Cricetulus griseus: one gene and its partners. The main gene of each other region encodes a partner of the protein of the gene in region 2 in a complex. Links are inferred from orthologs where the notes say so. Each region holds a gene or a part of one and is shown on either strand. Other genes may lie near its edges.

The links.
Region 1: Dab2ip (region 2) and Map3k5 share a complex: the UniProt entries of both Homo sapiens proteins name them as parts of the cytoplasmic complex. The link is inferred for Cricetulus griseus from reciprocal best matches to the Homo sapiens genes DAB2IP and MAP3K5.
Region 3: Dab2ip (region 2) and Dcp1a share a complex: the UniProt entries of both Homo sapiens proteins name them as parts of the cytoplasmic complex. The link is inferred for Cricetulus griseus from reciprocal best matches to the Homo sapiens genes DAB2IP and DCP1A.

Annotation. Positions count from the first base shown.
Region 1 is NC_048595.1:269,796,034-269,799,683, forward strand, and holds part of Map3k5 (mitogen-activated protein kinase kinase kinase 5), read right to left. Parts: intron 2,872-3,650; coding exon 2,678-2,871; intron 916-2,677; coding exon 747-915; intron 1-746. UniProt on the Homo sapiens protein: Serine/threonine kinase which acts as an essential component of the MAP kinase signal transduction pathway. Plays an important role in the cascades of cellular responses evoked by changes in the environment.
Region 2 is NC_048599.1:147,603,154-147,606,297, reverse strand, and holds part of Dab2ip (disabled homolog 2-interacting protein), read right to left. Parts: intron 1,062-3,144; coding exon 974-1,061; intron 472-973; coding exon 401-471; coding exon of another isoform or gene 314-400; coding exon 309-313; coding exon of another isoform or gene 304-308; exon of another isoform or gene 1-303. UniProt on the Homo sapiens protein: Functions as a scaffold protein implicated in the regulation of a large spectrum of both general and specialized signaling pathways.
Region 3 is NW_023276807.1:189,261,132-189,265,469, forward strand, and holds the start of Dcp1a (mRNA-decapping enzyme 1A), read right to left. Parts: upstream 2,898-4,338; 5' UTR 2,816-2,897; coding exon 2,681-2,815; intron 1-2,680. UniProt on the Homo sapiens protein: Necessary for the degradation of mRNAs, both in normal mRNA turnover and in nonsense-mediated mRNA decay. Removes the 7-methyl guanine cap structure from mRNA molecules, yielding a 5'-phosphorylated mRNA fragment and 7m-GDP.

The DNA of each region.
Region 1 (3,650 bases), on a different chromosome or scaffold from region 2:
GGGTTCCAACAGTTCCTTTCAGGGCCAGGGAGCAACTGACTGAACTTCTGTTTTAAGTAACAAAATGATTTCATCTCATGGGACAAAGTTCCTCTAGCCACAGACTCTCAATTGAAACAGTTCTCTAAGAATTGAGCCTCATGGGTGAAATCTCACCTGAGGCCAAGAGGCTAGACATGGGAATGAGAAACCAGGAGTTACCTGGATTTTACACTACACCCGTAATGCCATATCCTTCACAGAGAGATATCCTACTTTCCAGATCTAAAAAAAAACTAAGACATGTCAGTAGAAATGATACCGTAGGCCATCGTGTCATGTTACAGGTTTTACCTCTATTTTACAATGAATCAGCTGCATATTTCTTACTCCTGGCATGATCCTTTCCAGTAGCATAACTTCAGGAAGTAAAAGATATATTCAGAAAGCACTAAGAACTTCTGCTGTTTGCCAAAAGAAAGCTCTCACTCACTGGCTGACTGACAGGTGTGCCTGAGGCTCACAAGAGAGAACTGAGCCTCCAAGAGCTGGATATGTGAGCAATTTTAAGGAAGAGTAAATATGAGTATGTCATAATCCCCAAAAGTCACCATGTGTGAGTCTTTTCCATTCACCATGAAACCACACGGTGGAAAGTTATCAGTCAGCTCCATTCGGCAACATGGAATACTTATTAGCTAGCTGAAAGTCAACACCAGCATCCCTTCCTCCTCCAGCATGTTACCCAAGAGACACTATCTTCTCACCTGGATATCTCGGTAGGAAAGCAACAGGTTGATGACAATGTCTGCCGTCAAAACTTCAATATTGTCCACCCGCTGCCGAATCCTTGCCAATTCTGCTGCCAATTCTTTACCAGTGAATAGATTCCGAGCTTTCCTGATGTCATTGAGTATAGATTCCCGGAAATACTGGCTGGTGAAAAACCATACATTTTAAAGAGTTAACTCTTTGAAAATAATTCAGTGAAAAGCAGTAATGTTATAAGGAAATATATGACATTTGTCCATGAGCAGTCTTTAGCTCATTAAGATGCACTGAAGGAACATCTCGAATATTTGGCATCATTAAGACATTTGGGAGATGCAAAGCCGTGTAGTTCTTCTCAATTTCTGCCATATTTCAAACACTGTCGAAACTTTACTTCTCACCTTGCTATTTTGGATGGAAATGATCCCAAATAAATTAGATATGCCTATGATCTGAATATAATACAACCTTACCTTTCTGGCTCAGTATCATTATCTACTAACAGATGTGGTAGGAATAATAAAAACCCAGAGACAGATATCGGGATTCAAGCTGAAGACCAGAAAAGCAAAGCAGCCAGCCACTAGAGAGGTCTCACCTCTACCAATGTTCAGAAGGGGTGATCCACCTAACCTCAGAGTGCATCTCCAGACTGCTTGCTCCTCACCAAATCTCAGAGTGCTCCTGAGACTGCACTGAGCTCCTTCTATACCTCTCTAGTGCTGGGATTAAAGGCCTATGCTCCCTTTCTCTTTTAGACAGATTCACTCTCCCATAGCCCAGGGTGGTCTTGAACTCACAGAAATCCATCTGCCTCTGTCTTCTGAGTCCTGAGAATAAAGGTGTGTGCCACAGCTTCTAAGGCTGTGGCAAACTTTGCAAGCTTTGCATTCTGATCCCCAGGGCTTTTTTTTTTTTTTTTTTTGGTTTTTCAAGAAAGGGTTTCTCTGTGGCTTTTGGAGGCTGTCCTGGAACTAGCTCTTGTAGACCAGGCTGGTCTTGAACTCACAGAGATCCACCTGCCTCTGCCTCCCGAGTGCTGGGATTAAAGGCATAAGCCACCAACGCCCGGCCCCCAGGCAAGCTTTATTAGATCATGAACAATATATCACCACAAACAGAAATAACTAGTAATTCTTTTGGTTTTTTTTTTTAAGTACATTTACTAGGCATGGTGGCACTTGAGTTTGAGTCTGCATAGAAAGTTCCAGGGAAGCAAGAGCTCGGGCAGTCAGGGTTGGCAGCAAGTACTTGCTGAGCCATCTCATCAGCCTGAAGATCATTCTTAACTAAACTGTGTTCTCAGCAATTTTTGCAGAGTTCTGTCCCTTACACTAAAAGTCCCTGGACATTCATTCTGATGTAGCCACAAGAGATCTCTCCCTCTCTCTCCATATACATACATACATACATACATACATACATACATGTATAAACACACACACACACACACACACACACACACACACATATATACATACATACATACACACAGATACAGTTTTGTCATTAATATGAAACAATTAATAGATTGGGAGCAAAGTAGTTTATAAACCAAGTGAATGAGGTTCAACTTACGAATGAAAACCACGTTTTTAGCCAGGCGTTGGTGGTGCACGCCTTTAATCCCAGCACTCGGGAGGCAGAGGCAGGTGGATCTCAATGAGTTTGAGGACAACCTGGTCTCCAGAGCGAGTGCCAGGATAGGCTCCAAAGCCACAGAGAAACCCTGTCTCAAAAAACCAAAAAAAAAAAAAAAGAAAGAAAGAAAGAAAGAAAGAAAGAAAGAAAGAAAACCATTTTTTTTCACTCAGAGGATACTGCACATTGTTTCCTGGCTCTTAATTAGGAACTGTGACAAGATACACAAGTAAAGGAAGCAAGAACCACCCTGCACGATCATCACCCAGTGTGAGCACTGTGTTACCTGGAACTTGCTTGCGCCACCTTCAAAAGCTGAACAAAACGATCCACAAGAGGTAAGCAGATGGGCCCCAGCAACAGCTCAAAGTTGGGCTGCATAAGCTCCGTCAAGCCCTTCATGAAGCTGCTGTCACAGCAGTAGACCTTGTTATGCGGTGTCACCATGTAAGGGACAAAGGTGTAGTTCCCAGTGCACATCTGTGGAGACAGGAGGCACCAGACAATAGGGAGTTTGTCTAGGGACACCACACTGACAAAAAAAAAGTCAGGCTGTATTTAAATGACTAAAATTATTATTTAAATAATAATTCTGAGTGCAATGGGAAACAGACAAGATTCATTTCTTATTTCTGACCCATGAAAATAGAATTTTCCCAATTTCCTTAATTGCTTACTTCAGTATAATTGGAATTTACACATAAGGTATTTTTTTTATCAACCATTAAATATGTATGCACTGTCACACATAGCTACTGGGATACATGCTAAAACAAGAATAATTTACAACTCTGAGATACTATCTTACTCCTGTCAGAATGGCCAAAATCAAAAACACCAAAGACAGTTTATGCTGGAGAAGATGTGGAGAAAGGGGAACACTTCTCCACTGCTGGTGGGAGTGCCAACTTATACAGCTACTTTGGAAATCAGTATGGCAATTCCTCAGGAAAATGGGAATCAGTCTACCACAAGATCTAGCAATTCCAACTCTTAGGCATATACCCAAAAGAAGCACATTCCTACTACAAGGACGTCTGTTCAACGATGTTCATCGAAGCATTATTTGTAATAGCCAGAACCTGGAAACAACCTAGATGCCCCTCAACTGAAGAATGGATAGAGAAAATGTGGTACATCTACACAATGGAGTACTACTCAACGGAAAAAAACAATGGAATCTTGAAATTCACAGGCAAATGGATGGAACTAGAAGAAACCATTCTGAGTGAGGTAACCCAGTCACAAAAAGACAAACA
Region 2 (3,144 bases):
GGGGTACATGCACTTGGCTGGTCAAGAAGGAAAAGGTGACACATACCAAATTCAACCACCAACAGACACATTTGGCAGGCCTCCCTCCAGGCTGTCCCCCGCTCCCCAGCGTGCAGTCTCTGCTGCCTCTACCCAAACCCGCTGTTCAGCTGGGCGAAGAGAAGGGGGCACTGTGCCCTCCGGCTCACACTCCATCAGTCTTGTGCTCCCTCCACTGCAGGCGAGTCTGCAACTGTGGGGAGCCTCCTGACTGAGACCAAGACCCTGCCCGGGGCCACCACAGTCCCCCTCTCCTTAGGCAGGTTAACAATTGCTGCTGTTTCTGAACTCGCCGTTCTCAGTAATCTGCAATTTGGTGGGGTTGGTGGGGGAGACGCCGTTACGGGCTTGCATGCTGTACCTCTCTTTCAGCTGCGTGAGGGCACTCATGAGGCGGGCGTTGGCAGCATCCAGTGAGGCGATGCGCTTTTCCTGTGGGCAAGGAGGGCATTAGTAAGGCATGGGATGGGCTGTAGACTGTAGAGGGCAGCTAGGTAAGGAAAACAGGGAAACTTAGTTGGAAGTCAGGTGTGGGGAAGGTTCTGCACCATCACAGACTGAGACTTTGTCATCTGCCTCTTAAGAGTTAAAGCAGAACTACCGGCTCAAAGGCAGGAGCCCTTGCTTTCTTCCATACATAACACCATCGAGCTCCTCATTCCTAGGCTGTGTACTTTACAGTCTAACTAATTCTTGGGGCATTGGGAAGAAAGGGACACAGCCTTGAGTGAAAGGACTTGGGGGCCTGGGGCCCTCTACCTAGCTTGCTTCTCCCTCCCCCAACTCCCAGTAAGTTCCACTGGTCAGCTTCCTCAGAACAGAGACTGTGGTTCCTGGTCCTTGGCTTTTGCAATTAGGTATAACCAAGGACGATAGAGAAGCCAGTCACCTCCCCATCCCCCCAAGCTCTCTAACACTGTGGCCAGAGCCCAACCTGGGCATCAATGATCTTCTGTTTGGAGTCTACAGCTGCTTGCATCTCAGCGTGGTCCTTCTTCAGTTCCTCTTCCACAGACATCAACCTGTGACCAGAGACAGGGGTAGTCAGGTGCGCCAGAAGGACGAAATGCGTGGTGGCCCCTCAACTGTTCCCATCACTGACATGGCTGAGCTGCTCTGTCTTGACATCAACTCCCCACATCCAGCTCTGCTACCTGTCCCAGTGCACTTCCAGGGCACAAGGAATGCCATGTCACAGGATCTGTAGCAGGGAATACAATGAAGACCCTGGAAGGCTCTAGACTCTCTTCCATCATATTTACTGAGATAGTGTGGGCCTTGTGAAGGCACAGGGTAAGGGAAGCTTCCCAAGGTAAGGGAAGCTCCACCATTTCCCTTTAGGGACTCAGACCACCAGGAACACCACACCAGGCCTATAACTGCACAGCTGTATAGCTGTCGTCGTCGTCGTGGGGCAACTCATATCCAGGGATGCTGGCAGTCCCCTGGGATCAGGGTGATGAGGGAATTCAGCAGGGTTGAGGTGGAGGATCTATAGGACAGAGATGCACCCTACTAATTCCACCCTGCAAGCAGGTAAGCAAACAGTAGGCAGAGCAGGGTTGTGAAAGAGCCACAACCCTGGGAACAGCTCCTACCAGATAGATTCTGGGAAACAGGCACTACTTGGGGCACCATGAAGAATTCTGGGAAGGTATCTGTGTACATGATACAGCCAAATGAGGCCAAGTCTGAAGGTCTTCAGGTTTCACACTAGCAAAGCTCCAAAACGAACCTGAAAGGATACACCTGATTCCTGGCAGTATCACTCTATTTCAGAACAAATCCTACACAAGTAATTACAGGCACACAACCTCTACCACCAATCTGTAAAATTCACAAGGCAGGGCATCCCACCAAATCTAGGGAGGACACAGAGCTGTAAGGAAATGAAACCTATAACTAGGAGGAAAATCAGAGAGCAGAAAGACTCGGGATGTCAGATGACAGGCTAGTCAGTAATGCCATTAAAACAGTCATGATGTAGACATTCCACATGCCTAGAGGAGAGATTTAAACTACAACAAAGTGAGAGCTGAAAACTACATACTCCAAGTGGAAAGGGCTGATGACAGGTGCAAGGGAAGCACTGGTTCGCCACAGAGGCCACACAGAAATCGTCTCAAGCAGGGCCTATGGCCCCTGGCCTGAACTTCCAGCTACCTGGGAGACAGAGGCAGGAGGAGCCTAGCAAGTTCAAGACCTGCCTGGGCTGTAGAGCAAGTTCAAGGAGAGCCCAGAAAATTGACTGAGAGCTTGTCTCAAGGAAAAAGATTGGGGTATAACTCAGTGGCAGAGAACTGTCTAGCCTGAACAAGGCTCTGGGTTCAGTCCCCACCCAGTATATAAAAATGCATATAAAACAAAATGCAGGAAACATGGAAAAAGAAAACTGTGGGGGCCATACAGATGGCTCAGTGGATAGGAACACTTGTCACTCTTGCAGAGGACCTGAATTCAGTTCCCAGCCCCCACATGGCAGCTCACAAGCACCTTAACTCCAGTTCAGGAGACTTGACACCTTCATCTGACTTCCTTGGGTACCAGACATAGAAAGCATGGAGGCAAACCTGTACATACAAAATAAAATTAAAAAACAAGGGAGGTGGGCTAGAGATTTAGTGAGGGGCAGGAGGTTGGGGATTTATCTCAGCGGTAGAGAGCTTGCCTAGCAAGCACAAGACCCTGGATTTGGTTTTTCAGTTCTTGGGGGTAAGGGGGAAGGAGACAAAGAAAATCATGAAGTATAATGAAATGGAAGACAACATAGAGCAAAACACTATACCTGTGAGGGCAGGTGGCAGCAGTCACAGAGAAAGAAATAGGAAGCAGGACCATATACTTACATATCTAAGAATAGCAACCCCAAGAAACACAAAGAAAACCATACAAGGCATGCTATAGTCAGATGCAAAATCAAATTGTTGACAACATTTAATGAAAAAAATATTGGGTCAGGTGGTTGAAGGGTAAAAGCACCGCATACAAGCTTAATGACTGAGCTAAATCTCCAGACCCCACAGTGAATTGTCCTCTGATCCCCACATGACACACAGACACACACTTACATACCCATCCATTTACACCCACACCATACATACCTAC
Region 3 (4,338 bases), on a different chromosome or scaffold from region 2:
TAAGCACAAGTCACTACACCTGGCTTTTTATGGTGGGCACCTCAGGTTCTTTTACAAATTGTGTATCCATTCAACTCTATAGGTGTTTATATAATTGTAATCAATGTTCAATTCAACATGTCTACATCTGTAGCATTTTTCTATTTTAAACCTTAAGGACCACTAAAAAACAAAATACCAGAATTAGCTTTACTTTTTATTTTTATGCATTAACTTTTTTAAAAACTAAAAAACCAAACATACATGTTTGCCAGTACACACGTCTACGCAACATGTGTGCTGGAAACTCACAGAGGGCACAAGAGGGCATTGGATCCCTTGGAACTGGAGTTACAGATGGATGTGAGCCACCATGTGGGTGCTGAGAACTGAACCCAGGTCTTCTGAAGAGCAGCCAGTGCTCTTAGCTACCGAGGAACCATCTTTCCAGTCCCAGCTTTAACTTTGCCAAACCTAAAACCTTTCAACAAGGTATCTTAATGTTGAAGTATTTTGTGTTGCAACTTCAAAAACAAACAAAAAAACCTGACCAAACTTTAACAGTCTATCAAAGTTAATAGAAAAAGAAAGTAAACTGATACCAGGGCTGAACTCAGGGTCTGGGGCTGATGATGTAAAGCTGTATACCACTGAGCCAAATCCCTAACTCTCAGGAAATTTTCTTATATACTTTGTTTCACCTCTGGAGAATTTAGGAATATTTTCATTAGTAACAAATTTTGTGGTTAGTTAAGGACTACTACCAAACACTTTGTTAAGAATCCATGGATAGACCTCATTCTCAGACGTAGGCAATTCTGGTAGGTTTTTAAAATAAACATTTGAAAATTTGATTAAGAAATAACTTGGGCTGGATATATATAGCTCAGTGGTAGAGGTACAGTGCTTGAATAGGATCATGAGGCCCTAGGTTTGATCTTCTGCACTACAAGAAACAAAACAAGAAAATACAACCCATTAATATTCTTTCATCTGTTTTGACAAGAATATAGTCAGGTTTTAGGCACAGGCAGAGTGCTTTTATTTTTTTCTAAAACCCCAAAATCCTGTCAGTCTGTAGTTCTTGGCTTACACTGGATCTTGATAATTTAAATGTAACCAAAAGATTATCAAAACTTAACGTTATATCAAACAAATTGTTGTGATAAAAAATTAAAAATAAAGATCTGTTTCTTGTACATGTCTTCTACATCACAATGAAACTTATCCTTCTTGAGGCCTTTTCTTGCTTTAAAAAAAATGCTCTCATCAGAAAAAGATGACAGCCAGTTGTCTCAGAGTAAAAGTAAACTTGCCTCCCAAAATACATTGAGCAAAATTACAACTCACCACTAATAAATAAGAAAAGATGATGGTGAATGCACCATGTATCAAGATCCAAAAAAACAGCAGCTTAGGTTTCAATTTCATTTTAAAACAACTCCATGGTGAAAATCCTCAAGTGTTGCAAGCCTTTGTGAAAAACTACAAATAGGTAACAGTTATAAATGCTACTTGCAAATTCTCACCAATTGTCTGCAGCCCTTATGTTACAAATTTACATATAGAGGAAGCAGAGAAAAATGATACAAAATACTTCAAACTAAGGCACTGTTTAAAACAGGTATACCAGTAAAACAGTTTGTAATTTTATTCTCAGTGGCTTCCTACATCCCTTTCCCCTCCAGAAGGAGAAGGAAAATGATTATGGAAACTTCTTCTGACGTAAACTTTCATAAATGACAATACACTTCCACAAAATTACATCTATGTATCAGTGTCACAGTGAATAAAAGTTAGACCAGTCCTTCAGCGTTTTGTTAGTTCAAGGACCTCATTACTTGTTGAAGGGTGAACGCCTATCATTGATGAATTCTATTCAATCAACAGTTACAGATTAAAGGCATGAAGCTTTTACAGTTGAATGAATTAGAAAGAGTCAGCACAAGAAAATGGGAAACCATGTAAACAACTGAAAGGTACTTTAAGTTGAAGCTAACAAGTCAGTGAGTAGGCACTGTAACTTTTTGGAACTCCATCGCCACTCACAAAATCTAAAAAGTCCTCAGATGTGAGCCATCAAAGATTAGGTATCACCGGTCTCTTTTCCCTGCAAAAGGTCTCCAAGGAACCCTATTCTTACCGTAGTGCCCTTTCCTTAGATGCCTTGAAATCTTTCCCCAAACTCTAGAGTAGTTCGATTAAAGCGGGACTAACTCTTGAAACTGATTTTTTAAGCTTCAAATCCAAATCACCTCATTTAGGTAGGTTGGGGGGAGAGGGGTGGACTTTGTGATTAGACACATGTAATTTATCTAATAGTTCTCAAAGTCTGAAACACAGATTTCAGTCACAAAAATACCTCCCCCCCCCAAAAAAAACTAACTTGTCTCATATCCTTCCAATGCAACCAGTAAAAAAGTAAAATTACTCAAGTCCCCAGAACCGACCCCAAAGGACTGATCCTGCCTCATTCCTCCCCTCCATTAGATCTTCCCTGCTATATTTCTCCCGCTTCTTTCCTCCAATTCCGCGTGCCCCCGTCACCCCTCTGGTTCTGGCCGGGCCTTTAGGAGAGGTTCTGGCCTCGCCTTTGCGGTCCTGCTTCACTCCCCCACCCCCAATCCTAAGCTGCCTGCGCGGCCCCTTTAAGAGGCGGCAGCGGCCAGGTTGGCACCCTTCGCGGCTGGGCCTCACTCACCCACTGGTTGGCCTTAGGGCAGAAAGTGTACAGAGCGACCTGGCCCGTGAGGTCTGCGATGCTGGTGATATAGGGGTCGTGCTGCTTCAAGGCCGCCAGACTCATCTCTTGCCCTGCTCTACTCAACGACTCCATCTTGAATCCCGGAGCCGAGCCCCTCTGGCGGGGGCGGACTAGAGAACAGGAAAGTGCAATCCAGGCAAAGTTCCCCCAGCTCAGTCAGTCCTTCACTTCCGCCTAGCTGCCCGGCCTTGCGGAGGGTGGTACTTTAACTATTCTGTTCCGCCACTCCCACATCCTGGGAGCCTGGTTCCGGTCTCCGAAGGTCCGCATCTGCCGGAAGGTACTGGCTGGCGTCCGCGGCTGCGTGTGACGAGGAAGTAGCCCCCAGTCCTCGCTCACCTGGTGGGACCCGAGCTCCTTCCACGAGCACTCCCGGCTGCTCTCGGCTGCTCCCGGCTTGTGTCAGCCGGCGGGACTCCATCGCAGAGGCTGTCTCAGGTTCAGGCGCAGAATCGAAATGCTGCTGTGGAAATGACGTCTCCATGGACCGTTTAGAAAACTCAGAAAGTGTATGTGTGTGTGACTGTGTGTCTGTGTCTGTGTGTGTGTGTCTGTGTGTGTGCTGTATGTTACCTCCGACCTCAGACTGTGTGTGTGTGTGTGTGTGTGTGTGTGTGTGTGTGTGTGTGTGTGTGTGTGTGTGTGTGTGTGCGCGCGCGCGCGTGTGCGTGTGCAGTATGTTACCTCCGACCTCAGACTGCACCTTCAGACCTTCAGTTAACAATTTGGTAATTTTTGAAAGAAATGTTTCAAAGCAGCCAAACTAAACTCGGAAAGAGTGTGTGTGATCGTTTAGAAAACTCAGAAAGTGTGTGTGTGTGTGTGTGTGTGTGTGTGTGTGTGTGTGTGTGCTGTATGTTACTTTACCTCCGACCTCAGACTACACCTACAGACCTTCAGTTAACAATTTGGTAATTTTTGAAAGAAATGTTTCAAAGCAGCCAAACTAGCTTGCCTGGAATTACACAGGACTCCTTTTCTTTTGCCCTTTTCTCATATTTTTTTCTCATCCGAGTCCCAGGTAAATATTTCTATTGTTCCAGATTAAAGAACGTCGTTATTTAATACGAAGATCACTTTAAAAACAAACAAAGAGCAACTGGGAGGTGGTGGCACAGGCCTTTAATTTTAGCAGAGACAGGTGGATATCTGAGTTCGAGGCTAGCCTGATCTACAGAGCAAGTTCCAGGACAGCCAGGGCAGTTACACAGAGGAAACAAAACAAAACAAACCCCAAACATTTATTGGGCATCTTAAGTAGTGAGGTACTACTAAAAAGTAAAACAAAATGCCTACCCTATTTTCACCAAATTGCTTTAAAAACCATTTTCCTTTATTGAAGACACCTTGGTGTAATTGAACATTTTTGAAAAAACAAACTACGTTTTCATCAAAACAACACCACATATTTGTATTGCTTATAGTTTTACATCCCAAGATCATTTACTAAAGGAAGAACAAACTTTACATTCTTTACAGAATCGTGGGAAGCAAGTACAAAAGCAGGGAAAGTAACCTATTTATTCACTCTTCTGTCATGTATACTTTAATTGAATTTATAGAGTACTGGCCAGTTCTGAGCTTCCAGCTCTGTT